Nothobranchius furzeri: one gene and its partner. The protein of the gene in region 1 purifies or fractionates together with the protein of each later gene. This does not show direct contact. Links are inferred from orthologs where the notes say so. Each region holds a gene or a part of one and is shown in the gene's direction. Other genes may lie near its edges.

The links. Proteins that work in one complex are often made in the same cells at the same time.
Region 2: the proteins of tubb5 (region 1) and arl2 purify together in Homo sapiens (co-immunoprecipitation; 3 studies listed by BioGRID and IntAct, counting the BioPlex papers as one, with this or other methods). This does not show direct contact. The link is inferred for Nothobranchius furzeri from reciprocal best matches to the Homo sapiens genes TUBB and ARL2.

The regions. Positions count from the first base shown.
Region 1 is NC_091745.1:74,452,715-74,458,594, forward strand, and holds the start of tubb5 (tubulin beta-5 chain), read left to right. Parts: upstream 1-2,117; 5' UTR 2,118-2,217; coding exon 2,218-2,274; intron 2,275-4,219; coding exon 4,220-4,328; intron 4,329-4,470; coding exon 4,471-4,581; intron 4,582-4,662; coding exon 4,663-4,907; intron 4,908-5,021; coding exon 5,022-5,834; 3' UTR 5,835-5,880. UniProt on the Homo sapiens protein: Tubulin is the major constituent of microtubules, a cylinder consisting of laterally associated linear protofilaments composed of alpha- and beta-tubulin heterodimers.
Region 2 is NC_091754.1:61,092,540-61,098,394, forward strand, and holds arl2 (ADP-ribosylation factor-like protein 2), read left to right. Parts: upstream 1-2,527; 5' UTR 2,528-2,655; coding exon 2,656-2,720; intron 2,721-2,979; coding exon 2,980-3,090; intron 3,091-3,237; coding exon 3,238-3,400; intron 3,401-3,755; coding exon 3,756-3,836; intron 3,837-3,902; coding exon 3,903-4,037; 3' UTR 4,038-4,546; downstream 4,547-5,855. UniProt on the Homo sapiens protein: Small GTP-binding protein which cycles between an inactive GDP-bound and an active GTP-bound form, and the rate of cycling is regulated by guanine nucleotide exchange factors (GEF) and GTPase-activating proteins (GAP).

The DNA.
Region 1 (5,880 bases):
TCTAGAGATGTAACTCAGACAGATTGGTAATGCCAGAGGTCAAAATTAACATTTCAGAGATTTTAATCATTTCATTTCTAATTTGTAATCTCCTAAAACACAAGTAGAGGAACACAATGTACCATAATCCCACATAGACGGAATTTTGTTAAAGTACAGCAAAAAGTACAGATAACAACTAAAAGAATACTTCAAATGTATTTAAGTACTGTGACCAATTTATATATATGTATAAGTAGCTCAAGCTAGCACCGACATATGGTAACGCAGTCATTTGTGCTTTCAGCAGCTCCTCCCTCTCTAAACAAACATCCACTCGCTGGTTTTTCTTAAAACTAAATCTGAGATGCGTTGAAGACCTGCGAACACCAAGGGTTTTACGTGAGATGTTGCAATCCGTACACACAGGAAGCTAGCTAAACGGGTTAACTCGTGATTAAATATCTACGCTATCGATGTACTAAAGAGCACGGCAGCAGATGAAACAACTGTTTACATTTCACACCATTAAACTTTACTCCAAACCATTTGTTTTCTTTCAGCTTCCGTTATTTGGTTAATATAAAGCAACTCACCAGTTCAGAATGAAATTAAACCAGTTTCCAGGTTGCTAAGACGTCGCTCCTCAGTAGGAATCAAAAAAATGTCTGTTGTTTAGAGGGGAATGTTTACTGACCACGCCCATCCTCACTGCAAACCATTTATGTGATTTGTTTACTGACATCTAGCGGTGGGCGCGAGAACTGCAACTCACAGATGATGTGATAGACAGACAGACAGACATGTTATCAATCAGTACTAAAAGAACGGGAAAAAGCTATTCTGAATAAAAACAATTGTTGCACATTGCAGTCCATACATGAAGAACAGAAATAAAAAAAATCAAATCAATCCTAAAACAACAAGTCACGGTGGATGGAAAACTATAACTATAATTTGATGTTGATGATAATGTTTAATTGTAATTAATTCTGTCAAATAATGTTGAAGCTCTATATTTACCGGTCGATCTAATTCTCACTTATGGTCACAAGCTTTGGAGACCGAAAGAATGAGATTGCGGTTACAAGCGGCCAAAATGAGTTTTCTCTGCAGGGTGGCTGGGCTCTTCCTTAGAGATAGGGTGAGAAGCTCAAGCTCGGTCATCTGGGAGGGGCTTGAAGTAGACCTGCTGCTCCTTCACATTGAAAAGAGCCAGTTGAAGTAGCTCATGCATCTGGTTAGGATGCTTCCTGGATGTTTTCCTGGTGAGGTTTTTCCGGGCATGTCCAAACAGGAGGAGAACCGAAGAAAGACCCAGGACATGCTGGTGGGAATATGTCTCTCACCTTGGGATTCCCTTGGAAGAGCTGGCCCAAGTGACTAGGGAGAGGGAAGTCTGGGCCTCCCTGCTTAGGCTGCTGCCCCCAATGGAAAATGGATGGATGGATGAATAATGCTGATAGTTGTGTTTTTGTGAATGATTGTGAAGCAGAAAATCCATTCATTGATTTTTTTTGTATCTCCCTTTTTCTGTAAGGGTCATGAGGAGCTGTTACAACTGAGCAGGCAAGGGGAATGGGACACTGTAGACAGGTCACAAGTCCATCACAGACATGCAAGTGGAGACAAACAAGACAAGCAACCAATCACACACACACACACACACACACACACACACACACACGTAGGAAAAAGAGTTGCCCATCAAATCAAACTTATACATTTTTGTTCTGTGGGGCCCATCTGTGCCACCTATACACACAATCAGCCAATCAGATCTAGTCATACTGTTTTATTGGTCTAACCAACGTTTTCAGTATATTATCAAAATAAAGAAAAGACAGAGTTTAAAGGAGCTAACTGTCATTCTGCCCCAACTGCACACTGGAATTGCTGCCATCTGTTTTCTCACACAGTCGCAGCGATGATCAGCCCCGGCTGACACTAAAACAGCTGTAATGCATATTTCTGGACACCAGCTGGTAAAATTCTGGTCAATCTCCTTTTCCAATTCCCACTCCCTGATCTGCAGCCGACACGTTCCTCCTCCCCCTGCCGGTCCTCTCGGCCAATCGGCGCGTGCAGAAGCGTGTTGTGGGCGTGGCCGCGCCCCTCTCTGGAGACGCTCCAGCCTTATAAATCCATTGTCCCCCCGGTCTCTTGTCACAAGTCGGCTCGTGCTCGTCCACTTTAATCACATCGCACCTTTTTTCCCGTGAAACCTTCGCACCCATCATGAGGGAGATCGTGCACATCCAGGCCGGCCAGTGTGGTAACCAGATCGGTGCCAAGGTAAGCTCAGAAAATCTGTATAAAATGTTTCTGTGGAATAAAACAGGAGTTACTTTTGCGTTACTTTGTCTAAAGCATTCACAATTACTGTTATATGGATTTATTAACTGATGAAGATAAAGAAATTTACATAAATATGTAATGAAATAAAAAAGTAGTAATGGTCCAGTCTTTGTGAGCACTGCAGTGCACACAACACCGGGTGTGTCTGCGTCCCAGCTCCTAGGATTCAGCCCATCTCAACGCACTGATTTAGGGAAAAAGACAAAGGAAAGAGGGGAAAATGACTCTTTTCTTCTCATGTCAGACCCCCACAGCCTGTGGAGCCTTCACTCTGCTTGCTTTGTCTGGCCCAGGCTGATATGACTGGTGTTTCAGACAATGAGTGGAAGTCTGGATTAAAGGCCTAGTTACCCCCCACCCCCAGATGTCTATGAATCAATAGCACATATTGATTAGATTTGAGTTCTGCAGGCTGCAAAGGCAGACTGCAGGGTGAGCTATTCTATTGGGACGTGATGGAAGGGTGTGGCATGAATAATTGTGAGAAGACAAGTCATTCTCTCCTTTTTTCTGCAAAAAAACACCCTTATGTGTTATTTACTATAATATTCTATTCATCTGATATAATTTGTCATTGCATCATTTAATAGTAAAGTCTAAAATGTTCATCAATGACATCACCCGCCCAGTCTGTCTCTTAGCAGCCGCAGTCTGCAACAATAGGTCTGGGTGGCCCATTATTTCTGCTGTCTTATTGTCTTATTTTTGTTTTACAACTGATCATTTGTAAACGCATGCACACGCTCAAATCCATGCCCTGGAATTAAGAACCCATGAACATTAGCCCGGATTAATGAAGGGTGATCTTTCTGGCTGAGATGTCCTGGAAAGCAGAATCTTTCCTCCCCTAACCAAATTAAGAGAAGGGTGGGGGAGGAATGGAGGAAACAGCTGATGCACAGCGGACGCAAAGTCTCCATTTCCAGTGGCCTTAATGGGCAATAGTTGTCTTCCCAAAGGCACACAACAGATGGCCTTTATATTTTATTAGACATATTTTTATCAAGCTTGTACTGTTAATCATTTTCCCTTGTTCGGGTCACCGCTTTGGCCTGTATGATCGGCTAAAACTACTAGGAGTGGTCTATCAGAGAGCCAACTCGTTTGTTTCCGTCCCCTGGGGGCTCATCGACTCCGATGTGCAGGATTTATGACGGCCAGAGATGCTGAGCGGCTGCACGGTGGTCAAATGGGTCAGGGTGTGGCCTTGCTTTTCCTGCTCGTTGTCCTCATTCTTTCACTGTGATCTTCATCATCACTGATGGGCCGTCCATCAGTTTCTGTCTTCTCACTTCTGCGTCTCTAGCATCGCTCACCCTCGTCTCGTGACATTTAAATGTCAAGATTTGTACTCCACAGCCGTTTGTCTGCAGTGCAGCCGGCGTTAACGGGAGGCTGTAAAGTCTCATTTTGCAGCTGAATACCATAAATCTAAGTGAATGTGTAAAAAAGCAGGAAATGCAGACATGCAGAGGATTTCCTACAGTATCTTAGTGGATTTAATGCGTACCCAGCCTCCCAGAGCTCCGTGGGCTTTTAAAGCCGGAGCAGGACTTGAATACAAATTTAAAGGCCCTCATTGTCCTCGGTGTTGTGTGAGACGCCTTTTTCATTTTCAGTTTGGCCTTCGGAGTGATCAGTGGCTCCTTTGTGCTCCTCCTCCTTCACGTTTTACATATGAAAGCGTTGCATAGCTTTCTGCAGAGTCATGAGCTGGCAGCTTTGGAAATATTTGCAGCTGCTCTGCAGGAAACTGCTTGAATCCTAGCGTATCCTCCAGAATATAAATATGCAAACCCATTGCTGTTATCCTCATTTAAAGTCCCAAAAGGCCTGTAGCTTAGAAGTGAAATGAGTCCCGTCATGTGATTCCTGTCTGCAGTTCTGGGAAGTGATCAGCGACGAGCACGGCATCGATCCCACTGGGACGTACCACGGAGACAGCGACTTGCAGCTGGACAGGATCAGCGTCTACTACAACGAGGCCACAGGTAGACCGTCGTCCTGAAAGGCTTTTCATGACATAAGATGTGCTGTTCCATAATATTTTTGTCCATTGCATTGCTAAGCTGCGATGTAAATGTTACGGTTTCCTCTTTTCCCTTCTGCTCTCCCGTTCACTTTCCTGTGGAGGAGGTAAATATGTTCCCAGGGCCATTCTTGTGGATTTGGAGCCCGGGACCATGGACTCTGTGAGGTCTGGACCTTTTGGGCAAATCTTCAGACCTGACAATTTCGTCTTTGGTGAGTGTCTTCCAGAGAAATCCTTTTACAATATCTGTGATCTGTATGAACTTAGAAAACAAAGTCTCACTTCTTCCACAGGCCAGAGTGGTGCTGGAAACAACTGGGCCAAGGGTCACTACACAGAGGGGGCCGAGTTGGTGGACTCGGTCCTGGATGTGGTCCGTAAAGAGTCCGAGAGCTGTGACTGCCTGCAGGGCTTCCAGCTCACCCACTCTCTTGGAGGTGGGACTGGATCTGGAATGGGAACCCTCCTCATCAGCAAGATTCGTGAGGAGTACCCAGACCGAATCATGAATACCTTTAGCGTGGTGCCTTCCCCCAAGGTGACCCGTCCTTGTGATAGTGCCTGAAAAGTTCTGTTTTTAATTAGAGTTTGTTTAGCCGTAGGGTCTTCTGCTAACATCACAAGACCGAATCAACACTGTGTGTGTTTACAGGTGTCGGACACGGTGGTAGAACCCTACAACGCCACCCTATCAGTACATCAGCTTGTAGAGAACACAGATGAAACTTACTGCATTGACAACGAGGCTCTGTATGACATTTGCTTCCGCACACTGAAGCTGACCACACCCACCTATGGTGACCTGAACCACCTGGTCTCTGCCACCATGAGCGGTGTCACCACATGCCTGCGATTCCCAGGCCAGCTCAATGCTGATCTCCGCAAATTGGCTGTCAACATGGTGCCTTTCCCTCGTTTGCACTTCTTCATGCCAGGCTTTGCACCCCTGACCAGCCGGGGCAGCCAACAGTACCGCGCCCTGACCGTTCCCGAGCTCACCCAGCAGGTGTTTGACGCCAAGAACATGATGGCTGCGTGCGATCCTCGTCACGGCCGCTATCTGACCGTCGCCGCTGTGTTCCGAGGCCGCATGTCCATGAAGGAGGTCGACGAACAAATGCTCAACGTTCAGAACAAGAACAGCAGTTACTTTGTTGAATGGATCCCCAACAACGTCAAGACCGCCGTCTGTGACATTCCACCTCGTGGCCTTAAGATGGCTGTCACCTTCATAGGCAACAGCACGGCCATCCAGGAGCTGTTTAAGCGCATCTCTGAGCAGTTCACAGCCATGTTCCGCCGCAAGGCCTTCTTGCATTGGTACACAGGTGAAGGTATGGATGAGATGGAGTTCACGGAGGCAGAGAGCAACATGAACGACCTGGTGTCTGAGTACCAGCAGTACCAGGATGCTACTGCTGAAGAGGAGGGCGAGTTTGAGGAGGAGGCTGAAGACGATGCTTAAAGATCAAGATGTGAAGATGAAGAACACAAAGCCAAAATGAAACTTT
Region 2 (5,855 bases), on another chromosome or scaffold:
GCAGATTGGATCAGCGGTGATCGGCGAGCAGTGCATGCCGGTTAGATTTGTGTCCGACCTGACGCCGACCTGCTCTGACGTCATGCACACGTAGGCAACGATAACCTTGTGAGATCAAGGCGGCCACAGATTTTGGAGCAAGGCGCTGCAGTTGCTCTCCCTCGGCTGCTAAACCTAGAGGATGACGGGAAACGCCTGGCTCTCACCTGATCTAAGATCTGATTGGTTCATATTTTGATCCAAACATCCGGTGGTAGAACACGAAATGTTAGTTGGTCACATGTATTCTGTAAATCATGTTACGTTGATGATGTTAACTATATAGGCCATAAAGAGAAATGTGATTTGTTTTCTTTTGTCACGTTTCCTATGAGCACACTGAAGCTGCAGCTGATAACCTTTACTTATTATTACAGTCATGTCTCCATATACAATATATGATATCCACAAGCACGTGAGGACGTGTTTCAGCTGCTAACAGGCACCAGAATTAAAATTGAAAATTAAACAAGTATGAACGCTGACGCGATATCTTCAGCCATCGTCACCCCCGAGTTACACATGTAGGGAAATCTGTCCGACTTAAACGCCGGCTTTCAGCCACTCCCCCTGCTGCTTCCGTCTGCTCTCGTCTGTTTTCCAGGCGAGGTGCAGCTCAATTCGAACACGGCCTATATGTCGATGGTTTGCAGGTGGAAAATGAGGTCAAAGGTTAACATCAATTTCCTGTTTTGGTTAAAGTTTTTACTATTTATATGATAATTTACTGATTATTTTTGTTTTGTATGTTAAATATTACCACATCCACACGTTACATTAAAATTAAAGTGTGAAAAAAAAATCTAATATTTACTTTGGGGTGCCATGACTAATCCAGGGGTAGCTATAGCGCCCCCTAGCGCCCCCTGGCGCCGCCACTGCAACCAAGATGAGTCCAAAGTCACTGATGTGGAAGTCCAAGTCCTTAACTTTGATTTTTCAAGTCATAATCAAGTCATCTGTCCAACTTGAATTTAATGATGATGATAATAAATAAATTCCAGAATTAAAGCTTCTTAAAGTTTCATTTATTTGCTCAAACAAGCAGAAAGTGAAGTTGATTATAAACAAAGAGCTGCTGCATTCAGCAGTAAATCAAACCCAGAACCAAGAACGATTCATGATTTTTGTCCATGTCGTGTCACTTTTGTGCTAAAATATCAAATATGTTCAAGTCATCATCACGTCAACAGATGCAAGTCGATTCAAGTCGCAAGTCATTGGCATTCAAGTCCAAGTCAAGTTGTAAGTCTTTATAGATTTTATCAAGTCAAGTCGGAAGTTATTAAAATAATGACTCGAGTCTTACTCAAGTCCAAGTCATGTGACTCGAGTCCACACCTCTGTTTACTGGTGGAGGATCAGCTGATCTGAGATGCTATACGATGATAAACAGGCTCAATCAGCCTTTCAATAATCAGAATCACTGTGAGGTTTAATGTCCAGGCAGCTCAGGAGGATCTAGTTTTGGTGCAGGAGCCAATCAGTCAACACTTATAGGAAAACACACACACACACACACACACACACACACACAGCGTATGAACATCTGGTATGACAAAGATGAATGTGTGTCAAGGTTCAAGTCAATCATTTTCATAGTGCAGTACACTTTGTTGTTGTCCTTGTTAGGGGATGAAGTTGCTGCTCTGGCTCATTCAGCAGCCCAGCTGGAGATCTAAATGTTTGTGCGGCGTGGCTTTTGCTCTAATGGACAAACAGCCAGCTCCCAGAGAAGCTCCAACAGCACAAGTCCAGGGTGAGATGGGTCAGCCACAATCTTTTGTTCCTGCTTTATGCTTCTGCAGGTGAACAGGTCGTGCAGAGAGGGCCGGTTGCAGCCAGTCACCAATACATGAACCACCTGTTCACCTTAAAGAGAACAGCTTCTATTTTCCAGCCTGTGCGTTTGTGACCTGCAGTAATGCGAGAAGTCAGCAGACTTACACATGGGTGTATTTGTCAATCACTTCAATAAGATTTCCAGATACTTTTTTTTTGGTAAAAGCATGAGAAATTGGGGGTGTGGCATGAGAGTAAACAGTAAACAAATTCATGTTATTCTGAATTTGATGGACCAAATACTCATTTTACTTGTAAAAATATGGTCTACTTTTTTCTGCTGTGTAGAATATTTTAAGTATTTCATTTCCGTTGTATGCATGTTTTTACTGCTGGATAATTATCTGTGATGATTCTGAAATGTTGTTGAAAATTTGTACTTCTCCTGTCCAATATGGCGTCGGCTATGAACGAAAAACATATTTAATTTGTCTTATGAACGTGTTTTATACATAGACATATATGTATGTAGTTTTACAGGCTTGTGAATTTTAATTTAGAACTAATTAAGTGCACTTTTGACTTTGTAATAAAGATAAATTTTGTATTAAAAAGTTAAACCACACGCTAAAACACAAATTGGCCAATCATACAGCTTTGAGAATCTCCAACAACCAATCAAAATCCATCAAATCAAACCATCAGTAGCGAGGGGGTGGGACAAGCAATCTGTCGCATCATGGCTCATCTTTGTGAAAGCTAACCTCTCAGAGCTGTAGCCTTTAACTTATTACTAATATTAATATATTTTTGTTTGAACCTACAAGCATCGTTATGGGTTTGCTGACGATTTTGAAGAAGATGAAGCAGAAGGAGCGCGAGATGCGGCTGCTCATGTTGTATCTTTTATTTTTTATAACGGATTAGCCTAGCTAGAAACAAGGTTAGCATCTCAGAATAAAACTTCATCTGCGTTGAATAATAGCAACAAAAGTCTCTTGTACCAGTGTGTCGCTTTATAACCGAGACAAGGAACAGCCGCTTGGCTCCGTAACGCTTTTATTTGCCCTACTTTAACCTGTTAAGTCCCGTTGTGTGTGCTATGCTAGGTTTGTTGTGGTCAGGTGTGTTGTGTTTTCTTTGACCTGTCGCGTGCAGAGGTCTGGACAACGCAGGGAAGACCACCATCCTGAAGAAGTTTAACGGAGAAGATGTCAGCACCATCTCGCCTACACTGGGCTTTAACATCAAAACTCTGGAGCACAGGGGGTAAGTTCGGCGCTGCGCAGGTCTCGCGCGCGCACGCAACACAAAAGGAACGAATTAATGCATCATCTGCTGCTTCCGCGTGACCATTCCACGCCAAGTTATTCCAATCCAGGAAACAAACGGTTTGTTGCACTTTGTGTTTTTTAGGTTTAAGTTGAACATCTGGGACGTAGGTGGTCAGAAGTCTCTACGCTCCTACTGGAGGAACTACTTCGAGAGCACCGACGGGCTGGTGTGGGTGGTGGACAGCGCTGATCGACTCCGACTGGGCGACTGCAGGCAGGAGCTCAGTGCTCTGCTGCTGGAGGAGGTCAAACTGCATCCACTACTACAGATTCAGGCCATTTTTCTGGTTAAAAGTGACATTGGTGACTCGTTGTTGCAGAGAAACAGTGATAAAGACATAAAATCAAAGATCCTTAGAGGCAGATAAGTGATCCTGGTCCTTGGTGGCTGCTTTTACATAAAGAACTTGAAGCATTGAGGTATTCTAACCATTAAATCAGGAACAGGTGCTTCAGATACTTGCAGAAACTACATTGTGTAGACCTACAGTAGTGTGAAATACGGACAAAAGCGAGAAGTGCCTCCACAAAATGATGCTCTTTTTTCCAGTTTAGAGCTGGAGTCTTTGTTTACATCCTGCGTGGTTGTTGACTCTGCAGAGGTTAGCTGGTGCTACGCTGCTGGTGTTTGCCAACAAGCAGGACTTACCAGGAGCATTGTCTAAAGAAGCTATTAGAGAGGTAAGCCCAACTCTCACGTGTTCATAATTAGAAAGCACAACAATCTCATGAGATGTTCTTCTACAGGCGCTGGCACTGGACGACATCAAGAGTCACCACTGGTGTATTATTGGCTGCAGCGCTGTGACGGGGGACAACTTGTTAGCAGGAGTGGACTGGTTAACGGATGATATCGCAGCGAGGATCTTCACTGCTGATTAAGGGTCGGCGGTAACCAAACTTCTGTAAAAACCTGTTTTTTTTTTTCAGCTGATTTGTGCTTCATGATTTATTTTATTAAACTTGATATCTAGGTTTGACTGGTTTATTTGTAGTGTATTAAAATTCCACAAGTCATGAAACTAGCCTTTCTGAAATTGCCTTGGGATGCTAGACCTGGGAGCTAGAACCAGTTGAGTTTTCAGGAAGTTGTTCAGCTTCGTTGCTACAAACGGGTGCCCATCATATTTGTGTTGGTACTCAGGAGAACCCGTGGTTGCTGCTTGGTCTTCACTTTTAATGCACTTAATTCTTAACTCACAATAGGAACAAAACAAACGCGTTGATGCAACATTTTGATTTTGACTGAAAACAAGAAAATGTACATATTGCCAGCTTAACTTAAAACCTAATTTTCAAATAACATGACTGAATTTTCTGAATGTAAAACACAATGTAAATCGCTGCTTATGTGATAAAATCAAATAAAAATTTAAAGCCCTTAATTACCATTTCAGAGCACAGAAGTTTTTTTAAATGGCATAAACACCGTCTTTATTTCTACTCATCGTCCTCATCATGGGCCTGGCTGCGTCCGGCTTCATTGACTTCCCGAACAACTTTCTGATGTTCTCTGCTGTTCGCATGTTTATCAAACGCTGGATGGTTTAAGTTTTTAGTGCCTATGTAAAAGGCGCCGCTGGTCCGCCAGGGTGAGATTTTCACGGCATAATCTGCACCGAATCTGTTAAGTTTGAAGCCAGCTGACCTCCTGCAGCCACTTCCACAAATATTTTTTTGCGGTTCCGACTCAGTCTGAAGTTTTTTTGGAGGCGGAGGAACACCAAAATAATTAATGGAGCTTGCTTCTTGGACATCTTTAATATGCTCCAGAAATGTTTCTTCTTCCAGTCTTAGGTGCACAAATGTGTGCTGAAGCATCCCCCCCCCCGGTACGCATTATTTATTCTGACAGCGCATGCACACCTGAGGATGTGCACACCTGGCAACAAACTACTTAAGTACATAGAAGCTGACATTAGTCAGCATTTTTAGCTGGAGTTGTTTGAGCTCTACTGACACCTAATGGACAAAAATAGGAAAGCAGACTATTCTCCATGTTTTTTTTAAGTTTATTTAAAAATCAGGAAAATGTGAAAAACCTCAAAGCTGTATTTATAAAGCGTCTTCCTGTCAGGAAGCCCAAGGCGCTTAATTAGGTGCACCAGAAATGTTAACCACGATAAATAAAAGCAATCCAAATGGAGCAAATAAAGTAAACCTTAACGTAGAAAACAAGGTAAAACACATTCAGGGAATGCTTAATCTAGAACAAGACCACAACCCAACAGCAAACGTTTGTAGGAGATCAGGAGTACTTCTGCATCCGCTGAGCCTGGAGGAGGAGGAGACTAGTTAGGATGAGAAGAACATCTCAGATCTGGGAAATGTTAAATCACTAGATCAGAAGATACCAATCAGTCACCAAACATCAGACTGGGGCGGTAACACCTGCTCATCACGTCCATTTAGATCATGTTAAGTTTAACGGAGACATGAAACTTACCAAAAGCATTCTGGGTATCTGACCACATCACAGCTGCTGAGCCTAAAGAGAAGACCAGATGTTCATGATCATGAAGCATTTGGCTGCTTAGATCCATTTAAACATCATAAAGTTTGACATCCGGGATGTGATCAGAACCTGGCTTTCAGTCAATTGAACTCAACCAGACCGCCACACCATCAGAACCCAGCAGGTCACCTTACACCTACAGGGGTAGGGTTTTCAGTGCCATACTGGGTCAACAAGAGGGGGTG